Coturnix japonica: one gene and its partner. The protein of the gene in region 1 interacts with the protein of each later gene in a biochemical or structural test. Links are inferred from orthologs where the notes say so. Each region holds a gene or a part of one and is shown in the gene's direction. Other genes may lie near its edges.

Evidence for each region.
Region 2: the proteins of TMPO (region 1) and LMNB1 form a complex in vitro, tested with the Homo sapiens proteins (2 studies listed by BioGRID). The link is inferred for Coturnix japonica from reciprocal best matches to the Homo sapiens genes TMPO and LMNB1.

Annotation. Positions count from the first base shown.
Region 1 is NC_029516.1:42,484,110-42,495,281, forward strand, and holds the end of TMPO (thymopoietin), read left to right. Parts: intron 1-2,996; coding exon 2,997-3,116; intron 3,117-3,215; coding exon 3,216-3,311; intron 3,312-3,863; coding exon 3,864-3,974; intron 3,975-4,805; coding exon 4,806-4,895; intron 4,896-4,976; coding exon 4,977-5,042; intron 5,043-5,183; coding exon 5,184-5,278; intron 5,279-6,930; coding exon 6,931-7,222; 3' UTR 7,223-8,766; downstream 8,767-11,172. Other genes in the region: SLC25A3 (phosphate carrier protein, mitochondrial), read left to right, coding at 9,723-9,870. UniProt on the Homo sapiens protein: May help direct the assembly of the nuclear lamina and thereby help maintain the structural organization of the nuclear envelope. Possible receptor for attachment of lamin filaments to the inner nuclear membrane.
Region 2 is NC_029547.1:50,121,174-50,133,426, forward strand, and holds part of LMNB1 (lamin-B1), read left to right. Parts: intron 1-5,320; coding exon 5,321-5,477; intron 5,478-6,669; coding exon 6,670-6,795; intron 6,796-9,490; coding exon 9,491-9,661; intron 9,662-10,937; coding exon 10,938-11,063; intron 11,064-12,253. UniProt on the Homo sapiens protein: Lamins are intermediate filament proteins that assemble into a filamentous meshwork, and which constitute the major components of the nuclear lamina, a fibrous layer on the nucleoplasmic side of the inner nuclear membrane.

The DNA of each region.
Region 1 (11,172 bases):
TTTGCTGTAATAATACTGGGTTTTTACTCTTAATTTCTCTTACAATCTTTCACATGTGGTATAGATGTAATATTTTTGCAGTCTGCATATTTTAAATACCAGTAGCTAATCAAAGGAGTATCACTTGAAATGCTGTCCTCGTGGGTTAGTAAAAATAACAAATTCAAGAACTCTCAAGTTTGTTAAACCTTTTGCCTTTAAACTCATGACTGCTGCTTTAAATAAATAAATAACAACACCATCACCTAATAGTTGCTTGAAGCAAAACTCAAATGTTTTGGGCTGGCAAATAAAACTGGAAGATTTGGAAGATGGTGACCTTTACTTCTTGTGAAATGGGATCTCTATATTGCAGATAATGTGTCAAATGACCATACTCATTCTGCAGAATTAGCTGCAACTCCTGTTTGTTGTCTGGCATTGAGTCAGAGATTGAAGCTCTTGAAGAGTGGTGGGGCAAAACTGGTTGGCAGTGCGGTGTGAACAACTTATTGGTCACTTATGCATCCTATGCTGCACTATTTTTAGAGTAGGTATGCACAACTGGAAGGGCTGCCATCTGATGCTGAAGTCTTGGTACTGGTGGATGTTAGTGTTTTTTTTTTATGAGTGCAAATAAGAAGTCTATGGAAGCTGGTGTAAAAAACAGAGGAGAAGCTGAGGGGAGGCATTGACTTGTCCTATCATCTGGGGAGCAGCAATGGACTAGATGAATTTGAGTCCTGCTCCTAGTGCCTAATTGCCTCCTCATAGTGAACTAAAGAAGTTGGAAGAAAACACTGACTTTGAATGTGTTCTTTCAATCAGGAAGGTGGATATAGAGTTAGAGGTCAAAAATGTGAGTTTAAGGCCACATATTAGGTGAGAAAGAGGTGGACTAAGCCATGTGAATGCTAGGGAGTCCTTAGAGCTCAGAACTACTTGCTCTTATGGCATTTCTGCAGTGGCATTCTGGATATACTGTGTTCCCCTACTCTTCTTTACTCTTTCTATAATCTAATGACTTCCTGGTTATCAAATACATGTGTTGTAGCTGCTGACATATACATCTATTGTGTGTATGCCATGTGAAAAGCATAGAACTGTTAGTTCGCAAGTGATAGTTCAGGTAATATCATTATCTGTGTCAGTTGAATGCATTCTCTGAATGATACTTCTAAACAGTATTGTGTCTTTTTCTGACAGCATACCAGGGTACAATCTGAATATTACACTTTAATGGTGTTTATTTACTTCAGGTATTTGTGGGATAAGCAGAGGACACCTGTTCAATTAGTGGTCTATTAGTGGTTCAATTCTGGTCTACGGAATAGGCTCTGCTGAAGTTGGGATGGGACTCATGCAGTACACTCAGTCATTTCCTGTATTTTTCATGCAAGATTTCCCTGGTACTTAAGACATAACTTTCAACCATCTGAGGAACTCAGCACATAGGTTCTTATTTACTGAAGATTTCTTTAGGAAAAAAAAGTTCCTAGTAAAACTAATAATGGAGAGCTCCCTCTGGAGCTTGTCTTGTTGCATTCTTGAATTGAATTTGAGTTGAACTTCTCTGAGATTACTATTTTTTTTCCCTAAAGTTTCTGAGGAAGAACCCTCAAATAGTAAGTGACATGACTGAATGTTGCAGATTAGGCCTTTCTTAATGGGGGATGTGAGAAGCTAGTATCTAGTGAATGTCTAGATTGGGACTAAGGAGACCTTTAATCAAAAGTCGGTTTAAATTTGAAAGAGTATCAGAGGCATAGGCTGAAATATATAGATCTGTATGAAATATCTGAATCTATTTGGACTTGAGATCTGTTCCGAAAAATATATCGTTCAGTTATCAGTCTCTCAGTGACTTTGAAGCATAGCAAAACACTTGTGCTCCCTCTACTGGTTATGTAGTAGCTGTAATAATTCAGTTAAAAATTATAAAGCTGCTCAGTTTCTAGTTTCACTAAAGTAACTTCAAAGATACAGTTGGGAAACTGAGAAGGGTGGTGTTGTACTTTTCTACCCCTTGGTAAGTACACTTCAGCCTATTCTCTGAATACATTGTTTTGTGGGCTAATTCTTCCAGTGAAGTTAATTTGCTGTGCTGGTCTGTTTAACTCCCGCCAACACCAAATATAGCTTTCAAAAGTTTGATAATGCACCAGTGGAAGAGATACATAGACTTCGTTATCAGCAAGGGATTTTTCTGATTGTTCTTAATTAAACAAACAAAATCTTAGGTCTATTTTAGAAGAAGCAGGATGTCCCTCATCTCCCTTTCCTTCTAGATTTATGCTTGGAATTAGATTTGAGGAAGATTTTAATTTAAGCATAAAACTTGCAGTAAGGCTATGGGGATTGATGTGTATTTACTACTGGCTGTGAAAGTCTGACACTTCACTATTACTTGGGTTTACTATGAACTGTCTTAAGCTGGGTCATTTTAACCTACAATTAAGGGAGAAGTGAGTGACATTTATCACTGTGGAAACTTCTAAGATTATAAAAACATCTCCCTCTGTCTGGACATGAGATCTTGTTGATGTGCAGGTGTCTATGCCTGAACTCTCTGCAGGAGAGAATAGGTTTGTGAGTTGGGCAGGTTGTTGCATTCTGCTTGTGATCACAAGTTTTCTTCTTTTTGTAGGGATGTAATGTAACAAGCCTAGAAGTCAGCATATCCACTGTCTGATTTGGCAGTACTACTTGAAGCATTGGTTATTTCATACAGTGAGAAGGTTATCAGTTTTTACTGTTAGGTATTATCTAGTTGGTTCAGTATTTAAAAAAACAGTTAATTCTAACCTAGGTATTGAGGTCTTCGGTGCCTGTGTAGCTAGTTGGATGTTACTGAATCTAAGGTTGCTGGGTTTCTTTTGTTTGTTTTTGGTGTGGGGTTGTTTTGTTTTTAGTTCTGGATATATTTGTTCTGGAGTACATATGCTATTTTGGTTGTGTGCAGCCAATGTTGAGAACTGGCTTTCATGTATTTGATCATGTGTTTGATACTTGAATAGACTTATTCTCAAGATGGAGTTACTGAGACTGTCTGGACAAGTGGATCTTCAAAAAGTGGACCTCTTCAGGCATTTACTAGGGAGTCTACAAGAGTGTCAAGAAGAACACCAAGGAAAAGGGTGATGAGAGGCTTATTATAATAGAAAAGCATTTTTTTTCACTATTAGGGTCCCAGTGGCTATTTTATTCAACTGTTTTCTTTTGTTTTAAACAAACAGGTGGAAGCTACAGTACAGTTGCCTGTAGATGATGCTGTTATGTCAGAGAGTACTCCCATAGATGAAACTATATTGACTGCAAGCAACGAGAGCCTAGTAAATATGCTTAGTAAATATATTTAATGAATAATACAAGTAGTATTTTTTCTGTAATATACCTTTTATAATATGTCTTTACTGACAGAATTGTTTTAAACAGGCTGTTTTTAAAGAAAGTAGGACTTCTTTTATTCAGTAGTCTTGAAACCATATGTTCAATAGCATATTAGCGCCTAGTGGTGCTCACTTTGAGATGGGACTAGGTAGACACATGGTTTCATGTTTTTGGGGGGAGGGCTGAGAAGATCTGCTTCAAAAGCTTAGATCTCTTCTTAAATTAAGTACATATAGAATATCTGCTTTAGAGCTTTGCTTTTCTTGTGAACTAATTAGCTTCTATGTTTCTAAGTGGCTTAAAATAAACTATTTAGACTAAGCATTGTATTTCCTTTACTTATTTCAGAGTATCTGTTACATAACTTTCAGTGAATTACTAACATGCACATATTTGATGCAGATAAGGGTTATGTTGCTTAGTTTTGTCTCCCTTCCCCATTTTACTTTGTGTTTTGGTTAATTCTGAGTTTGAACAATTTTGAATCTCGGCAGGTTGGCAATAGGGTGCCTGGAAATTTCAAGCATGCAGCTCCTACATTGTCAATAAGTGAACCCACAGACATGCCCAGAAGAACACCAAAGAAACCACTGATGACAGCTGAAGTAAATTAAAACTTAGATTGTTATTGCTTACTTTCTTTGAAGAAGGTTCTTATGTGTATGGATTTATTCTGTAGTATAGAAGGGGTGGAGGGTCTTGTTGCCCAGGAGGCATGATCTTGTAACTAAACTAGCGTTGTCATATGACATCAAAAAGAGTATATATATATATGCATATTTTTATTTTATTTTATTTTATTTTTCTTATCCTTCCTTGTTTTTGTAAGGTGGAAATAATCCTCTTTTGGACTATTATTTCATCTTATGTTGTACAGAATGTACTTTTTTCTTTTAAACTACATGAATAGTTCAAAGAGTGGCATTATCTAGCTAAGTCAGCATATCCTGGGCGGGGAAATGCCTCAACTGAAGGACTGCAGTGGTAGGACTACTTGAAATCCAAAGTCAAAGTTTAGAAAGCAACTGTAGGTTTCTATTAGCTGTCAAGTAAGAAAACTGTTCTTATACTCTGTTAGCCTATTCAAGCTGTTGAGATTATTTGGATACATGTCTAAAAGCACTTGAGAGCATGTGATTGTAGTTGTTAATGTAGTACTGGATTACTGTTGAATGTTACATTACAAAATAATACTTGGCTGAATTTAAATGGAGTTAATTGATCCATGTAGACATTGTACGTAAAACTTGTATTAACGCTTGTGAAGCCTGCTCTACCAATGGATCTGAGATTTATGAAAAAGGCTACTTCCTTTGTTTATAGTAAGAACGACTGCAGTTTAGGCTTAATTGTCAAATAAGAAGGTTGTGGGAAAAGTTGATGTTTTATTTCAAACTGCATAGTATTTCACTGTACTATGACATTGTCTGTTACAGCGAAAAGAGACAGATTACCCACACCAATTCTTGTCTAATCACGTTGGCCGCCAACAATCCTGTGATGTGCTCAACACAGCCATGATAGAGGTGATTGGTTAAGTTTTTTCCATCATCTAGATCATTGGCTCGCAGATGTATTGTATTTATGACACATTCTTTATCTTAAAGGAAACTGAGGAGAGCAGTGAATACATTAAGACACCATACGTGGCCAGACAGCGTCCAATAATTAAGGTTAACTAAAAGTTCTTAAATGTCACTGGGTGGCTCAGATGCTTCCTTACAAACTGCACATGGTTTTGGACACTGAGATAGTTAAGTGGGAGCCTGCTATTATGAGGTTTGTTAAGCTTATAATGGTTTTTGTTTTTCTAGGTGCCAGAGAGAACTCCTACAGAAGAACGAAGAGTAGAAAGGGATATTCTTAAGGAAATGTTCCCTTATGAAGTATCAACACCTACAGGAATTAGGTATTGCTGTGGCTTAGGTGGGGGGGGCTGTTTCTCATTTCTTAAGAACTATTTAAGCTGAAAAGGGTCTGTTGATTAATATTGCTAGATTTCTGAGGAGCAGTTTTGCAATTCTGACTTAGTGGCAGTTGAGACAACTGTTGAGCTCTTCTGTTCTGCATACATAGTTTTATTAGCCAAAAAAGCCTTTTCTTCACTTAAAGTGAGGGAAGCAGGGGAATAATAAGGTAGCATTATAGCAGTAACTACTGTAGCAACTTGTTGGAGGTTAAATGGAAGAGGCCACTCTGTGGCTCCTACTATGGCTAGATACAACTGTTTTAGCCCCTGCTGTTAGTTAAGAGAAGGTCTCCCAGCATAGATTTGAGACTTCTTTTTGAAAGCGAAAAGTAATTTTCCAAGTCTTTTTCTGTTATGTAAATGATCCTTTGTGGTCAAGCATCACTCTTTGTGTGAATAAAGCTGGCATTGTGAATAGAAGGACTAATATTGCAAACTCAGTACTTGAACAAAAAACTGAAATAGCTCTCTGGATAACTAAGCAGTTGACAGAGCTGACTCCCCCTTTTGGAAATATTGGCTGCTACTGCATACTGATATCTGAAATTGAGTGGGGGCTGTGGAGTCATTGCTGCATTGGAAATCTTCCTAAGTTCATTAGGAAGCAAAAGATGACAGAGCAATGGATAGTAAAATGAAACAAAGAAAATGCAGTGTAATTTCTAAGAAAAATAGTTTGGGTGAGACTTAATTCAGATAGGTTAGTAATAATAGATTCTTGCAGTGGTTTCTTAATCCTTACTGCCTCATCACTTTGCTCTTTGCACTGATTTGGACATCAGTGATGTTTTAATGGCCTGAGGCAATCCTAAGTTTAGAGGTCCTGGAAAGACTGCAAAACTGATCAGTTAAGATACAGGTGCAGATGCTTCCTGGCATTTTATTTCTTGTTGTAATGGGAGTATGTGGGTAGGCCGACATAAAATGGCACTTGAGTGTTTTGTTTTTTAAAGGGATATTTATTTGAACTCTGAACAGTTAACCTCAACAATTGTAATGGTACATGCTAAAGCACTTATAGACAGGCATTTGAGAACAGGCTGAGGGAGTTGGGTTTGTTCAGCCTGGAGAAGAGAAGGTTGCGGGGTGACCTCATTGCAGCCTTTCAATACCTGAAGGGAACCTACACCCAGGAGGGGAGTAAACTCTTTGAAAGGGCTGACAATAGCAGGACTAGGGGAAATGGTTTTAAGTTAAAAGAGGGAAGATTTAGGTTGGATGTCAGGGGGAGTTCTTTACCTAGGGGAGTGGTATTAGGTCCTGGACAGGCTGCCCAGGGAGGTGTGTGGATGCCCCGTCCTTTGGAAGACAATCGTTGCCTTTCAAGACAGGCCTCTCCATCGCGACGGGAGCGGGGCCCTGTGCACCTGATCTAGTAAGGTGTTATGTATATAGGTGCCCTAGCCAGGCAGGGGGGTTGGAACTACATGATCCTTGAGGTCCCTTCCAACCCGGGTCATTCTGTGATTCTGTGTTTTCAGGTACTCTGTTCACTGGAAGTAATTTATAGTTCTTCAGTTATGCTAAAATTTTCTTGTGTACTTTAGATGGTTTTTTTAAACACATGGGTGCTTTTGTTTTCTAATTAACAGTGCTAGCTGCCGTAGACCAATCAAAGGAGCTGCTAGCCGGCCTATCGAGCACACTGACTTCAAACTGGATGAAAGTTTCTATAAGTATGCTCCAAAATACAGTACCTCCAGTGACATCAAGTCTGAGAAACCTTCGACGAAAAAAGAACGCTCCGTTCCCCTGTGGATAAAAATTCTTCTCTTTGTTCTTGTTTCAGTCTTCTTGTTTTCAGTTTATCAGTCTATGGAAACTAATCAGAGAAATCCTTTCGCTAAGTATCTGCATATGTTCTCTCAGGACGGTGCCAAATGAGTGTCTTTCTGAAAGGCACACCCCATTTTGATCTCCTGTTTTTAATTATAGAGAACTCTCCTGCCCTCTCATTGGCTCAAGGACTACTTAAAAATAATGTGATTGGAACCTGATCAATTGGATAAATGAAGCAAACTAATAAATGGACACTGGTAACTTTCTGGACTTTGGACTAGTAGACCACTTTGCCATAGGAGTAACACTTGGTGTTTTTATTTTAGGTCTTTGAACTTTTGTAGGCTTTATTTTTTTAATGTGGACATCATTTAAATTCATTTATGAGAAACTGTATATTTGTTTTTGCGGGATCTTGGAAGCTGAGAAGGGCAAAAATGTACTAAAATGTGAAGCTGTGTTTTTAAAGCTTTTTTCATTGTACAGGAAAGAAGTTGTACTTTTGTCTTGGTAGATCTTGATAGATGATGAAGGGGAGATGATTTTATAACAGGTGAATGAGGGAGATGCATTTTTGTATGCATTTATCAGTAACAAATTAACTGAATTGGATCTCTTAGGATATAGGGAGAGTACAACAGCCTTTTCTGTAGGTTACTGTAACTTTTTAGTAAATGTAACTGTAAACTTGTTTGCATTTCTGTAAGAGTCTTAGTATCATGTTAGTAACTGTTTAAGTGTAACATTTAAATGTATCACTTCATTTCAGTGCTTACAGTGTCGTAGGAGTTCAATATAAATTGGCCACGGATGTTTTAGAGGCACTTATTTATTAGTAATATGCGTGGAAAATAAAATTTGCATCAAATATAATTTGCTACTAAATACTTTTTTGGGGTAAAAGTTGTTATCTAAGGTAGTCTAAAAATCCAACTTTTAGCAGTGGTCTTTTTTCTTAATGTGAGGTCTCTCCATCACAGCTTTGTGATTATCTTTGAATATTCGTGTAGAGAGGTATTCTCAAAGTGTGAAGATTCCATATGAAGTTTTTATTCTTATATGAAGAGGGCATTGCTGCATTTTCTTCTCCAATTTCATCTTCTGAGGTGAGATTTACTACATTCATGCAGTTGAGTATTTTTCTCAGTGGAAGCATGCGAAAACACTCAATATTGTGTAACTTAGTTGAGCAGGCAGCTGACTTCACTACTACCGATGAGCAGTGATAAGCAACAACTCTTAAATTGAATGTATTCATTTTGACGCGCTTAAACCTGCAGCATCCAGACGTTCGGTCTCATTGCTTCGTACAAAAATGCAATAAAATCATACTTATTCTTGAAGTGCTACTTATGAAAAGCTGAGAACTTTAGTTAATGGTCTATTTTTACTATAGGTACAATTACTGTGTAGATTAGCTACGGGAGAACGTTACTTTCTGTGACCTCTGGGACAAAGATGGTAATTTGTAGCAAAACTATAGGTTTCTTCTGTTAAGGTTTAATGTTTGTTTGTTTTTTTTTCCTTTTATCCGCTTTCCGAGTAATCCAAATAGCTGAACTTATGTCCATCCTATAGCAAATTGTAACACGTGACATTCACTTTTTTTGGTGTCAAAATGCAGAAAAATAAAAATGATTTTAATGTGTGTGGATTTTTTTTTTTCCTTATCGAAATAAATGCATTGCTGGAAAGAAGAAAGCAAAAGAAAGATGACCTGTGTGTCAGTGCTTGTGTTCTGTGCTGCTGTGTTATTTCGTGTTTATGAAAGTGGATTATTCTGGTAGTAAAACTAGAGTGGTTCGTATCAATAGGTGATAAGGGAGAATAGCCATAATGGTCCAAAGCATAGTCATGAAAGGCTGTTTCCTATTGCTGCCTATTGTGGGCCAGGAATCGGATTCACTCCATGTAATTGCAGGCTATTGCTGTTTTATTCCATGTCTGGGAGAAGCTGAAGGGATTTTCTGCATAACTTAAAGGCATTTAGCAGAAATGTAAGTTATTCCTGTACTTCCACTGGGATGTTAGACTCTGCCTTGTTAACAGCGCAGAGGTTAGAAGTTAATTGTCAGCTAAAGCCAAGTGCCAGGCTGTTCTACAGACTAATTTCAAGTATTAGTACTGGTTATGTGTCCAATTATAGATACAACTACCAGTAATTAGATGTTATTGAAGTTAATAGCAAGCCTAACAATTGCGGCCCATGCTCCTTGCCGTCCCCTCAGTGACACCCCGCCCTTCCTCCCCGCTGTGGGGGAGGGGGAAGGGCGTTGGCGTGGATCACGCATGCGCGGCGGCGCCGGTTCGCGGGGCTCTTCATCCAACCGTCTCGCGGCTTCTTGTCTGGCGGCTCCGCCCCTCGCGTAGGCGAAGGACAAAGTCTGTGCGCCGTGCCCCGTGCCAGCCTCTGCGGGCTGAGCAGCGCTGCGCGCCTGCCGCCATCTTAGGAGGTGAGTCGGGGCGCCCGGCCGGCAGGGCCCGGTGTGCGGCTGGGCCGCCGAGCCCGTGCCGGGTACGGGACCGCCGGGTACGGGACCGCCGGGCCCTGCCTGAGCGAGGCCTCGCCGCCCCATTCCGCTCTTGTCGCCCGCCTCAGGTCGCCATGTTCTCGTCCATCGCGCCGCTCGCGCGGCTCAACCCTTTCTACGCGCCTCACTTCCAGCTGTGTCAGGATGGGCTGAGGAAGCGCGCGGAGCCGGCCGAGGCGCCCACCACGCGGCGGAGCCTGGCGGCAGCGTCCGCCTCCGAAGGTGAGAGAGGGACGGAAGGTCACGGTGCGGGATCGGGCCTGTGCCCGTTGGGACGGGGAGCGGTCGCTGCGGGACGCGGGCGGGGACGGGCCGGCGCCGGGCCTACGCGCGGCCGCTTGGAGGACGAGGAAGGGCACGCGAGGGGGAGGCGCTGGCGGCCCCTTCCGCTCCACGGCGGATCGCGCCGAGCGGCGAAGGACGCGAGAAGGTCCCGGATCGCAGCCGTGGTGTAGGCCCCGCTGATGGCTGCCCTGGGGCTGCCGGATCGCTGCTTCGGGCTCGTCTGAGCCTGTAGGCCCGTGCTTCTGACTGCGGAGAAGACCCCCGAACATATATGCGTCTAAAGCATCCTTTTTTTGTATGTGTGTGTGTGTTTTATTTCTATCTGGACATACACGAATGTTGAATAGCCTGCAGCTATTCTGTATTGTTTTATTTGATTTTTCTCCTTAGTGCTTCAATAGATAGAGGTGCATAAGAATGCTGTGAAAAGACACAGTGATGCTCCTTAGATTTAAGGCCGAGACCTTCCTGTGTGTTACCTAATCACTGCTGTGACTTCCAAAGGTCAGACCTACCGGTAGTGGAAGTAGATGTGAAAACTCATGTTCCTATATGCTGCCTATAGGAAAATGTTTGCCTGCTTTTATTAAAAATTCAATCCTATAAAAGGTTCTTGATAGGATTTCTGTTCTAAAGCCCTGTAATTACTGAAGTCTGTTAGTGCTGTTGTGTGAACTTCCACGTAGCACTTGAAAATGACAGAACTGAGTGTTGGGTTTCATTGAATTTAAAAGAACAAACGTTGGCTTTCAGTAGTGGTAACTTTGCTCCTAGCTAAATAAAGCCCTAAATCACCATTCAGCATGCTAAATATATCCTGTATGAGCGCTTATTTCTTGAAAGCATTATGTTGAATCTTTATCCATTTTGTAGGTAGATAAAATCAGAGATGATATATATGTTTCTTTATTTGTTCTGCGTTTTCATTGTTTCAGTTATTAATTGTTACCCTTTTGTTCTGTGAGAGTAACAGAAGATATCTGAGCTTATACAAGGTCACACAAAGTCATTAGCAGAACCCACAAGACCTTTCAAGTTCAGCTCAGGGCATCAACCATAACGCAGCTATTGGAATTTGTCCTTGTTAATGGCTCAGATCTAAAATAAAGACAACAGCTATATTACAGCCAGGGTTATTTCACTTAAGAGTGTAGACGTGTCTTTGTGCTGTGTATTTATATTTGAGTAGCTTTAGGGCGTTTGTTATAAGTCAGTGCCTAGGTACATGAGTATGTCTTT
Region 2 (12,253 bases), on another chromosome or scaffold:
CTGTAGTTTAAACAAGGGATATGTAAGAATGATTTAAGAGCATGTCATCCATGCTGGGTAGGATCATCCTACAGTGATGTGTCTACTTGATGTGTCTACTATGTGTAACTTGAAGCAATAAATTTGGGGGTTAAACTGTAGTGACAAATTCCAGCTAGTTATGAAGTGTGAGATGTACTGCTGCCAAATATAGTCAAGTTATGAGAATGTTATTTTATCACGTGCCTGCTGTATGTATGTTCCCACCCTGGTTTAGACAACTCTATGCAGCTTATTCTTCATCTCTTTTTGGAGTTTTGACACCTGATATTGTTTTGTGTTGGTTTTTCTTTGGGTTTTTTTAATTTTCCATGGGATCTTATTAAACAAACTCATTCAGTATGTTCTGCAGAAATTTTGTGAGTGCTACTGCTTCCACTGAATAAACAGGCTGTTTATAATGTGGTGTTTTTATGTAAAATTCAATGTGGTGGCATTTTGGAGCTGTGCTCTCCTCATTTTGAATTTCTGTGAACTCTTTACTGCCATTTTAAGATTTGTTTGGTCAAGATTATGATGTGTTTAAGTAAATGAGGCAAAGGAGTCACTGCAGCCATGATACCACCACTGTAATGGACACAATCAACTGATCACAGGTGTCTGCATCTTCAGTTATCTAATAATGAGACAGATATGGAAACACATCAGACTTCCCTGAACCATAAGTGCTTATACTTGTACTCTTCTTTTTAAAACCTGTAAAAATAATTAATTTTGAGCAGTGGTTTGATGTACATAACGCAAAGGCTGTTCTAAAACTGATGGTTATCATTCTTGAATTCATATGGTCAACTGAGCTCTTCAGAAAGAGGGCTGAGTGATGGGGGTGGTGATATGTTTAGCCATAATTTCAAAGATTCACCATTTCCAACTGTATAAAGTTGATGAAATAAGAAGTTAGAACCAAGTTACATATATTAATCTATATAAGTGGTGAGCTTAACCGGTGTTGTTTATTGTCATGCTGATACGAATACATAATAATCATCAGTGCTTCCAGACAGATACCTTTTCTGTTTTTATGAATTGTATTCTTGTGAAATACAACTTCATTATATTCTCTGCCTTAAGGGAAGAAACATAGGAAAGCATTGCTTGATGTCTTGTTTAACTAGCATTCAGTGACTAGATTTGTTTCTCCACACACACACACCCCTCAACTTGAGCGCAGTGCTGGCACAATGTATGGTACCATGTAACTTTACATAGATGTAGCTTTGAGCTACTTTATAATTAATTACGCTTGCATAGTTGTTTCAAGAATTGGCTGATAAATGAATGTTTTTTGAGATTACTGCTGGCAGCTCTTAACTCTGTGGCTGTCCAAATACTGTCAGGAATGAGTGGGTGCATGTTGGGAGACAAGAAAGGCGTTTTCCCTAGGTGGCTGGCATCTTGCACTTGGAACTTGGAGTTGTGTCCAGGCTCAGCTTGAGGTCTAGCTGCTCCTTGAAAGTGATGGTCTCACTGCTTCTGCTTAAGCACTGGAATGGGCTGCCCAAGGAGGTGGTGGAGTTACCAACCCTGGAGGTGTTCAAGGAACATTTATACGTTGTGTTAAGGGGCATGGTCTAGTGAGAACTATTGGTGATTGGTTGATGGTTGGACTGGGTGATCCCGTGGGTCTTTTCCAACCTTGGTGATTCTGACTTTTTTCTGCTTTAGATGTGTGGTTTATTGGATGCTGGGGAATATAAACTGGTATGAAAATATTTTTGTTTCTTAGGTAGCTTTTCAGCTAGCTTAGTAAGAAATTCAAGGAAATTGCAGGAAAGTTTAGGATGTTTCATGAACTTCAGAGTTTACGAAAGAGGAAGGGTGGTTGCAAGAACATGAAAAGGGATCCTTCCTCTTTCCCTGAGACTCAGTGGCACGTCTGTTTCTCTGAAATGCACTCTTAAATTCTGTAGATAATGCACTGGAGCAGTGGTAGCACCAGTGACATTTCAGGAGCTTTCTGTTAGTTTTAAATGGGCTGCCACAGGTAACCAGACACAACCATGGTACCTTAGAATTGTGTTTGTTCATTCTGTTTTACAAAGTGTGCGATGGGAATGGTGAGCAAACTGAGCTATCTAAAATGCTGTGTCTTGGTTACAATGCTGTGGGTCTGAGAACTTTGAGTGAATGTGAACAGGGCATATGTCTGCAGCTGACTGAGTTACCAGCACTCCTCAGAGTGGCACTGTGGCCTACAATGGAAGCTGATGTTGGTGGTATGGCAGTAGAGGTTGGACCTTCCCACCAATATCCTATTATATATGACCAGTGGAAACAGAGGGGCAGTTTGACACAATGGTGTCTGACATGGAAGTGTGAATAAAGCAAAGGTGAGGCATTACATTCCTTTGTGGAGAAAAAATGTCACCCTCATTGACTCTGGCTGAATGTTTTTGGAGGCCAGTGTCTGTGAGCACAGTGAGGTGGGTGGTGCCTTTCAGCAGTAGCAACCGCACCAGTGGGTCACCTCTGCTGCTGTGGATTGTTATAAGCGTGGCAATGCAGGCTTCTGTTTATGACTAGCTAATAGTGGTTGCTATGTTAAAAGTGTTTACACTGATTCTATCAAATAGTGATATTGTGATCTTTTTATGTGTTGTAGGTTTCAAGGAAATAAATAGGGGGCATTACTTTGTGAATGGCAGTTTGTGCAAGGCCTTATCTAAAGCATTACTGGCTACAGCTTCTATTAGTGAGAGCAGACAGGTAATACCAGTTGAGAGTCTCCCTGCAGTGTGTGTCTGAGTTAAATGATGTGGGTTACGTTTCTGAAACACCAGTTCTCCCTGAAATCCTAAGAAAATAAAGAGGAACTGGCTTGGCTTTGGTCAGATCTTGGTTCTGGCTTATTTTGAAATAAATTGTAATTCCTTAGATGAAAAGATACATTCACTTCAAAGTCCGAAGAGAAAAGCAAGTTTCTTCTTTGAAGAGGCAAGCTAGAAATTAATTATTTGCTTTTATTGCTTTCAGGAGTGAAACTACTTGGAGTACAGTTCTAGGTAATTGCTGAACATGGCAGTGAGAACGTACTTGGGGGTTGGGCTTTCTTATTGTTGCTTTGAAATGCAGCTTCAGCTTTTTGTGGTGGAAAAAGGTGTGTGAGGTATATGTGTGATGTTTAGAGGTTTTTCTGATCTTGTTGCCCTTCTTCTGTGTATTCCTTTAGGGCTGGGAAGACACCAATGGAGTGATGAGATTTAGTCTGGCTTTCAGCATTTGAAGTGTTTAGCTCTTATTTGTTCTCTTCCTGAGAATATATTTAGATGAGCTCTTTGATTATGAAGCAACTCATGACAGTATTAACTAATAGCACTTCAATTCTGTCCTTCCCTTCTGTGACCTTGGTCACAGTGAGAATCTTCTTGTCTTAGAGTCTGGGTTAATACAGGTGGGATTGCACTGCTGTATAGGTGACCCACTTTGAGGGCCAGACTTGTAGCTTTAGGATCCAACTTGACAGGCTTGATTTCAGCTTTGTGAGAGTCTGTGTGAAGCAGTTTCTGCATGTTGTGAGCAAAGTATTAACCAGTGATGGTCAGGCAGTGAAGGCTTGATATAGGCCCTCATCAGTCTTAGTAGATAATGCAGAGGTTTCCGCTGTATTCATACCATCGTGGGATGATACTTCTCCTGTTTTGGTTTTTTGTTGGTTTATTTTTATTTTTTTTTACCTCCAGTGCCATATGGGTTTTCTTGTACAGTGAATTTCTAGCAGGCCTGAGTAGGAGTGGAAGGGACAGAGCTGTGGGCCTCTGGTGAGTAACAAAGGGAGCTTGGAAGTAGGGAATCCATGTGGCCTAAACCTAAATTATTTTCTGCGGTTGGTAGGTGAACCCAACTGTTGGGTCTAAGCAGTCATATGTGAAACCTAATTGAGCAAGTGGATAGCACTGAGCAGCAGAAATGTTAATAAATGCTTGAAAACAGGTTTGATTTCAGAATAGCCAGTGCTTGTTATGCTGTGTACTGCATCAGTATGTGTTCTGTCATTCAGAGGAGGTGGCTTAAGGCTAAGACTGTTACATAAAGCCTGCCATCTGGTGGTTGTGTGGCTTAAATTGTCTCCAAAATAATTCATACAACTTCTTGATAAGTCTTGTGCATACCCTTTTCTCTTGGAAATTGATATTAATTGCATTGCATGTTATCTTGGAAAAGCCACTTAAATTTAAGCTTCTCCTCTTCAAAATTGTATGATGATTTGATGCTTGTCTCATTTTACTGAGAAGCTTTGCTGTTGATGCTTGTAAGTGCAGTACTTCAGTTTGAGAAGTACGGGCTGAATTCATGCTCTAGCCCTTAGGATCTAGTTATTAAGCATCTTTGTTTTTGTTTTTTCTTCCAAGAAAATGTGGAAACTGAAGTCTGCTAGCTGTTGTCCTAATCTATTTGTTCCTCTAGGATGAGTGATGGCTGACTATAAATATTTAGAATTCCTGTGTGCTGCTTCCTTCACCTGAGAAATATGGATATCCTGGAGAGGAAATAATCCAACTTTTAGAATTATTTTATTTTTCTCATTTGATTGCCTTGTTTGCATATACCTTAGAGAATAAATCCATTTGCACACCTATATAGACCTGAAAGCTAGCTTGAACAATAACTTGAAAACAACATTGGCCACTTTTTAAAAATAAGGCACTTGTACCTTATCACCAGTGCAGTTTTGTTGATGGCAGGCTATTATGTTAAAAATATTTGGGTATCTTTGCTCTGACCTGTGGAATTTAGCCATTACGTGTAATTAGAAGGGTGCTGCAAAATAACTTGCTATACTACAGCTACTGTTCATGGAGTGTTGGCTTACACATAGTGAACTTTAATTTTCATTAAGAAGCTAGTCTGTTAGTTGAAAGAGGGCTGTTTGCAGGCTGGACTGTAGATCTGCACAAGTTCCTGCGCAAGTAAAATGAGCTGCAGAGATTGTTTCCACTGTATGAAAAGGGTGTTATTTCTACCTATTGGAACTCTGAGGATAGGACATTTTAGAGTGGCTTGTGAAGGAGAAAACAAAACACAACTTTTATAAAACAGTTTCCACTTTCCATTTATACATCACTTATAAAATCCCTTGACATTCAGTTTCCCATATAATAAGGTTTCTACAGTTCAAGTGAAGTACAAAGCTATTGCTGTGTAGTATAAGAGAACAGAACTAAGTAGTTTGTTTAAACTAAAGTAATTTAAATAAGTGTTTAGATTGCAATTTGTTCTTCTGGTCAGCACCCTTCTTTGGGCCATTTCTATACTTCCTCTTGCTTTCCCTGTTTTATTCCAGCTATGCAAAAAAGGATTCTGATCTTAATGCAGCTCAAGTCAAGCTTCGAGAGTTTGAAGCAGCGCTGAATGCTAAAGAAGCTGCACTGGCCACAGCTCTTGGTGATAAGAGAAGTCAGGAAGAAGAGCTTGAGGATTTAAGGGATCAAATTGCACAGGTGAGAAGAAGAAATACTTGACTATGGAACTGCATGTCATTGTGGTAAAATGCTGCTTTGTAGCCAAAACGTAAATGTAAATCTAGGACTTAAATTTTGCTGTCAGAGTTCAAGAAAGTATTGAATAAGTATATGTTCAGTATGGTTCAGTGTATTAGTAGCATAATTATAATTAGTAGCATAATAGTAGAGCGCTATTAAAATGTCAGGCTATGTGAAATATAAAGGATCATACTTCTGTGGATGAACAGATCAAGCGTTCAAAATAGACTTAAAAATTGGAGAACTATTTCTAGGGAGTGACTGTGGTCATTAATATAGATGATGAGTAACTGATCAGTACTGCTTTTCCAGAAAGAATCTGGAAAGTACAATGGACCTTGGACTGACTGCAGAGAGCAGAGTTGTAGCCTTCACTTAAAGGACTGCTACAGTCAGTTGTTCGTGTCAGTCAAAATCAACCAAAAACTGATAGATTTAAATTGCAGCAAGGAAGATTCCTTAGGGAGTCTTGGAATAATTATTTAGTAAAATAAATTAAAAAAAAAAAAAAATTAAAAATTGGTGACGCAATGAGAGATGGCTGGAGAATGGCTGTAGTTGTCTTTCATAGTGGGTAATGACAGATGTACTGAGCGCATTTGATTTTTCCTGAAGATACTTCCTGAAAGTAGTTGAGTTGGAATGGCTGGAACTTAAAAGTGTTTCCTATGTTTAAGTTTGTGATTCTCTGTGCATTTCTTTTAGTTCTGTCTGTGGCACTCTGTCTTCAGGACATCTGATAGCAAGTATAAAATAAAACAAAAAAACTTACAGTTTTGTTGGCCCTCTGAAGTACCTTAACTGTGATTTTAAGCAAAAAGAAAACCAAAACCAACAAAAAAATACCTTAAATGAGTCTAGGAGAAATCTGGAACCAAGAAGTTGTTCTCTACCAAGTAGAAAAAATGAAGGCTTGTTAGAACATTTAATAACTATCATTAACAAGAATTTTATCTGTATGTATAATCTATAATTCACTTGTGCAAGCAATCACAAAGGAGACAAAAAATCATTGCTTTTAGATACCAAATTAGGTTGTCAACCTCAATCTTAATATCTAGTTAATGTACCTGTGGGCAGATGAGGTATTTGTGTTATGTGAGTTTTGATGCATAATTGTTGTGCTCAACTTCTGTGTTTTTTCCTAAAGCTCAAGGTTTCTTTAGCTGCAGCCAAGAAAGAGCTTGCAGATGAAACTTTACAGAAGGTGGATCTTGAAAATCGTTGTCAGAGCCTCATTGAGGATTTGGAATTCCGTAAGAATATGTATGAGGAGGTAAATTTTTTTTTTTTTGTATTCTTGAAGGACAGAAGATAAGTGAAGGGTCATTCTGAAATAATAACTTTATGAACTCCCATTCTGAGTAGAATTTACTTGTATCTGGTAGGTTTTCATCTTTTTATTACAGGCAAATAAGAAATCAGAACTCTCATAAATGATGAAATAGCTTTGTGTGTCATGTCACCTTGCCTCAACCTCCTTTCAGGTCATAGAGTGATAAGGTCTCCCATGAGCCTCCTCTTCTCCAGACTAAACAATCTTGATTTCCTCAGCTGTTACTCATAGGACGTCCTTCAGCACTGGCTTCATTGTCCTTTTCTGGATACACTCCATGGCCTTTATCTTGTAGTGAGAGGCCAGGCACTGAATGTGGTACCCAAGCTGTGGCCTCATCAGTGTTAAGAACAGGGGGGTGATCATCTCCCTAGTACTGCTGGCTACACTACTGATATGAGCCAGGATGTTGTTGGCCTTCTTGGCCACCTGGGCATACTGCTGGCTTGTGTTTAGATGAGTACTGACCAACACCCCACAGATCCTTTTCCTCTGCACAGCCTTGCAGGTAACTCTGCCCCAGGACTGAGGAGTTGTCTGGGGTTGTGATTGAAGTTCAGGACCCAGTTCTTGGTCTTGTTGAAATTCATCCCTTTGGCCTCAGCCTGGTGATCCAGCCTGTCTAGATCCCTCTGTAGGGCCTTCCTACCCTCAGGTAGATGAATACTTCCCCGCTCCTTAGTGGCATCTGCAAACTTACTGTGAGTGCACTCAATTCCCTTGTCCAAATAATCATTAAAGGTATTAAACAGGACAGACTCCAGTACTGTCACCTGGGGAACACCACTGTTGACTGGATGGCAACTGGTTTTAACTCCAGTCACCACCACCATCTGGACCTGACCCTTCAGCCGGTTTATAACCCAGAAAAAGTGTGTCAGTCCAAGCCATGGGATTGCCAGCTTCTCCAAGAGAATACTGTGGGGAACTGGTGTCAGAGGCTTTGCTGAAGTCTAGGCAGACTACATCAACAGCCTCCAGTCCTCTGGGACTTGACCAGGAACCCTAATAGTTTATGGAACCAGCTTGGCAACCACCTCTGCCAGCTCTCTCAGCACCCTTAAGTGGATCCCATCTGGGCCTGTGGACTTAGACAGTCCAGATAGAGCAGTAGGTCTCTAATCGTTCTCACCTGAATTGCTGGGGCATTTTTCTACTCCACATCCCAGGCTTCCAAGCCAGGAGGCTGAGTGCCCCAAGGATAACTGGTCTGAGTGTTGAGAACAAATGTAAAGAAGGCATTGAGAAAGTCATCTTTTTCCTTACCCTTACTTGTTGTGTTCCCTGCCACATTCAGTGGAGGACAGAGGTTGTCCTTCATCTTCCTGTTACTGATAATATATTTGTAAAATAATTTTTTGTTGTTGTTGCCTGCTAGAGTGGCAAGGTTGAACCCATACTGGGCTTCTGCCTTTCTAATATTCTTACTGTGTATCCTAGCAGCTTCTTTGTATTTTCCCTGAGTTGCCTGTCCCTTCTTCTACAGGAGGTAAACTTTTTTTCTCCCAGAATCTCAGTAGAAGTTCCCCGTTAAGCTATGCTGATTGTTTTTTCTGCTTGCTTGTCTTGTGGCACAGGGGAATAGCCTACTGCTGTGCCTTTAAGACTTCTTGAGGAATGTCCAGCCTTCCTGGACACCTTTATCCTTCGGGACTGACTCCCAAGGGATCCTCTCTACCAATGTCCCAAGCAGCTCAAAATCTGCCCTCCAGAAGACCAGGATAGCAGTTTTGCTGACCCTCTGCTCCTGACTTCACCAAGAACAAAGAAATCTTGTGATTTCATGGCCATTCTGCACAAGACAACTCCCAGTCAACGCATCTCCCACCAGTCCTCCTTGGTTTGTGAACAGCAGGTCTAGCACAGCACCTTTGGCAGGCTCCAGCAGTATCAGGCTATTATCTTCCATGCATTCCATTCTAGATTACTTCCTCTGGGCTGTGTTGCATTTCCTGCGTATATCAGGGAAGTTGAAGTCCCCTGCTAGAACAAGGGCTGGTGATTGTGTGACTTCTGGCAGTTGCTTGTAGAATGCCTTGTCTGTCTCTTCATCCTGGTTAGGATGTTAGGTAACAGGCCCCCACTAAGATGTGAGCCTTCCTGGCCTTTCATTTGATGCCCACCCATAGGGTCTTGATCTTAGCATTCCCAGCCCCAAGCTTTACAGCATCAAAACACTCTTAAATACTGAGACCCACACCACCATCCCCGCCTTGTTTGCCTGTCACTTCCAAAGAGTTCATAATCGTCCATTTATGTGAGTGATCTCACCATGTTTCTGTAATGGCAACTAAATCATAGTTTGCTTGCCATACAATGCATACATACATTGCTTCTAGCTTTTCCTGTTTGTTGCCTGTGCTGTATGCATTGGTGTAGCTGTACTTCAGCTGAGCTGTTGGCTTCACTCCAAACCCTGATATCATTCTCCCGGGCTCATCACTAGCGAGTCTAGCTTTAATCCCTTTCCCCTTCATACCTAGTGTGAAGCCCTCAACTTCTTCAATAAATACTCGCAAGACTTCCTGAAACTTCTATTATTACCTACTCATTGGGTAGTCAGATTCTAAAACTTACTTTTCCTTGTTTATTGAATGGTGATTTTATTATTTTTTTTAATTTATTTTTTTCTTAGGAAATCAAGGAGACGAAAAGAAAACATGAAACTCGCTTAGTTGAAGTTGATTCTGGACGTCAAATAGAATATGAGTATAAACTGGCCCAAGCACTAAAGGAAATAAGAGAGCAGCATGATGCACAAGTGAAACTGTACAAAGAGGAGCTTGAACAGACTTACAGTAGCAAAGTGAGAATGTTCTTTCATACAGTTGTCTGATTTACTTTGTTTTGCTTTGTGTAACGGAGGGATATCCTAACAATTAGATTTCAGAGGATTTCATTTTGGCATTTGGTATAAAATCAAGATGTTTTTGAAGGTAAATCTGCATTTTTAGTTCTCATTTTTGGAGACAGTTAAAACTTAAACAGCACAAAAGAAGTACAGAAAGCACTGTGTGAATGTGGAAGAAGATTTGTACTGAGATTACTTTAAATTCAAGGAAAGTTGTGTTTATAAGTGTTATAGAACAATCTCAATAATAAGCATTGTGTTTCATATCTTGTGTAAAGCTTAATCTGTAGTGTGGCTTGCTGAGAAGACAGCACCCCAAGTTCTTAGACTCTATGTCCAAGTTCTTGTGTGGAGACCTTGACCACACCCAGTCATTTCTGCATCCATAGAAGGGTGAAATCCTACTCAAACTGAAGTCAGTTGTACTTCATCATTTCCTTCCTCTGCTGTTGTTCAGCATTTTTATAAGGAAGGATGCTGATGTCTCAACTCAACCTGGTTCCTGTGGTTTCTTATTGCAGTTAGTGTTTTTCAGAACTGCATTCAGTATTTTTAAAAGCAAAGCTGGAGAACTGTGTAGTTGCTTATCTTCAGGGCTTCAGTCTGACTTGGAAAAACTAGAGAAAAAAATGTAAGGAAATAAGATCTAGTAAAAATCTTCCTACAATCTGAAAAATCTTTCTAATTGAGAGTTCCTTTTGGATGTTTTAATCAGTTTAAAGACAAAATTACTTGAACTCAATGTAATAAATTAAAATGAAGAAGCTGTGACACATGGCACTGGTACATGTAATCTTAAGGCATGTAACTAATGTGCTCATGTTGTCTGATAATCAGCATCAGTTGTTTACTTGCTTTTGTAGAAAATTGGTAATTTCAGTTTAGTGTCTCTTCAAACATACTCAAACAGCATTTAAATACATACTGTTGTTTGTTTTTTTGAGTCAAAACTGAACTTAGTATTCCAGCTTTAGTAATGTCTTCAAGGGAAACTTCTAATGAGTTGAGTTAATCCTAGAATAAATATTTGGAGGGTTGTGGTTATTAGTGAGAGCAGTCCAACATGTTAATTGAATGACCACATTTAACACCTGAAGTGAGAGATGTTTTATTATGTATTAGAGCTAGAGAGAGGAACTTTTGCATCTTAGTGTTGTATATGGTTTTGCTTGAAGATGGGTTTTTTCTTTTAGTTAAGGGTACTTTTAAGTTGATGTCTGATCTATTTCAGCTTGAAAATATTAGACAGTCATCTGAGATGCACAGTTGTACAGCCAACAAAGTAAAAGAAGAACTTCATGAAAGTCGTATGCGAATCGAAGCACTGTCTTCCCATATTGCTGATATTCAGAAAGAGGTAACAAGTTTTTTTATGTCTATTCAGTCTTAATTGTTGATTTTCTTAATGTAGAAGACTTCACTCTTTCCCTTACTTTTTAAGTATGTTCATCTTTGTGTTTTAAATTTGTTTTCTGTTTTGTTGCTCTGTATGAACTTACTTTCATAATGTCTTTTTTGGCAAAGTTGAACTTTTGTGCTACAGAGGATTTGAAAGATGTAGGCTGCCAAGAGGCCCCCCCAGACATGGAGGGAGCTTTGAACCAGACAAACCAATTGACCACAGCTAATCCTCACACACCTTGCCTTCCAGACCCTTCTCTATCTCTGTTGCCCTCTTTTCGACACCCCTGATTGCTTCATGTTCTTCTTGTATTGTGGTGCCTAAATCTGCATGCAGTGCTGGAGGTGAGGCCATACAGAGCAGAAGGGGAAGTCCTTCCCTTTTCCTGGTGTCAGCACTGGGCCTGATGCACCCCAGGGTATGGCTGGCCCTTTGGGCTGCCAGGGCACACTGCTGGCTCATGTTCAACTTGCCATCAGCCAGAACACTCTGATCCCTTTCTCTGGGCTGTTGTACAAGCTGAATATTCTTGTCTTTCTAAACAGTTTAGTTCTTTTCTTCAGTATCTGAATGCTTTAGTGTGGTATTCAGCAAGGCAGGATTCCAAGCCAGAGCTGAAACAAGCAGTTTGCTTGGTATCTTCTTCCACATTTGATACAGCTATCATATAGAGCTATTTAAAAATGATGAAATTGAATGGTCGTGCCAGGATCGGGATGAAATTAGAAGTAGAAATGCATCAAGTTACTAGAGGTTTGTAGAGCTGAAACTAAATGGATGTGGTGTCAGGTCACAGTATACAGATCATACTTATGAAAGTGTGACACAACCTATGACAAGTTACATATTCAGTGCTAGTTTACTTGATCAGAATAGTCCTGTGTGCTGGAAAATATGGAGTGAAAAGCTAGACAGATATTAATACTTGTTACTGAAGCTCATTATATAACCTTACTTAGCAGTTAGATACAACAAAGACTTTGTATTTTGTTCCAATATACAAATAATTAGTAATTTTTAGTTTTGATCCTTCCTCTGATTAGTTGTGCATTTTGAATTGTAATACTACTGTACAGTAGACTTGTGGAATTTCAAAATTAGGTGTACTTCAGGTAAAGAGTATTCATACATTTTCAAAACAACTT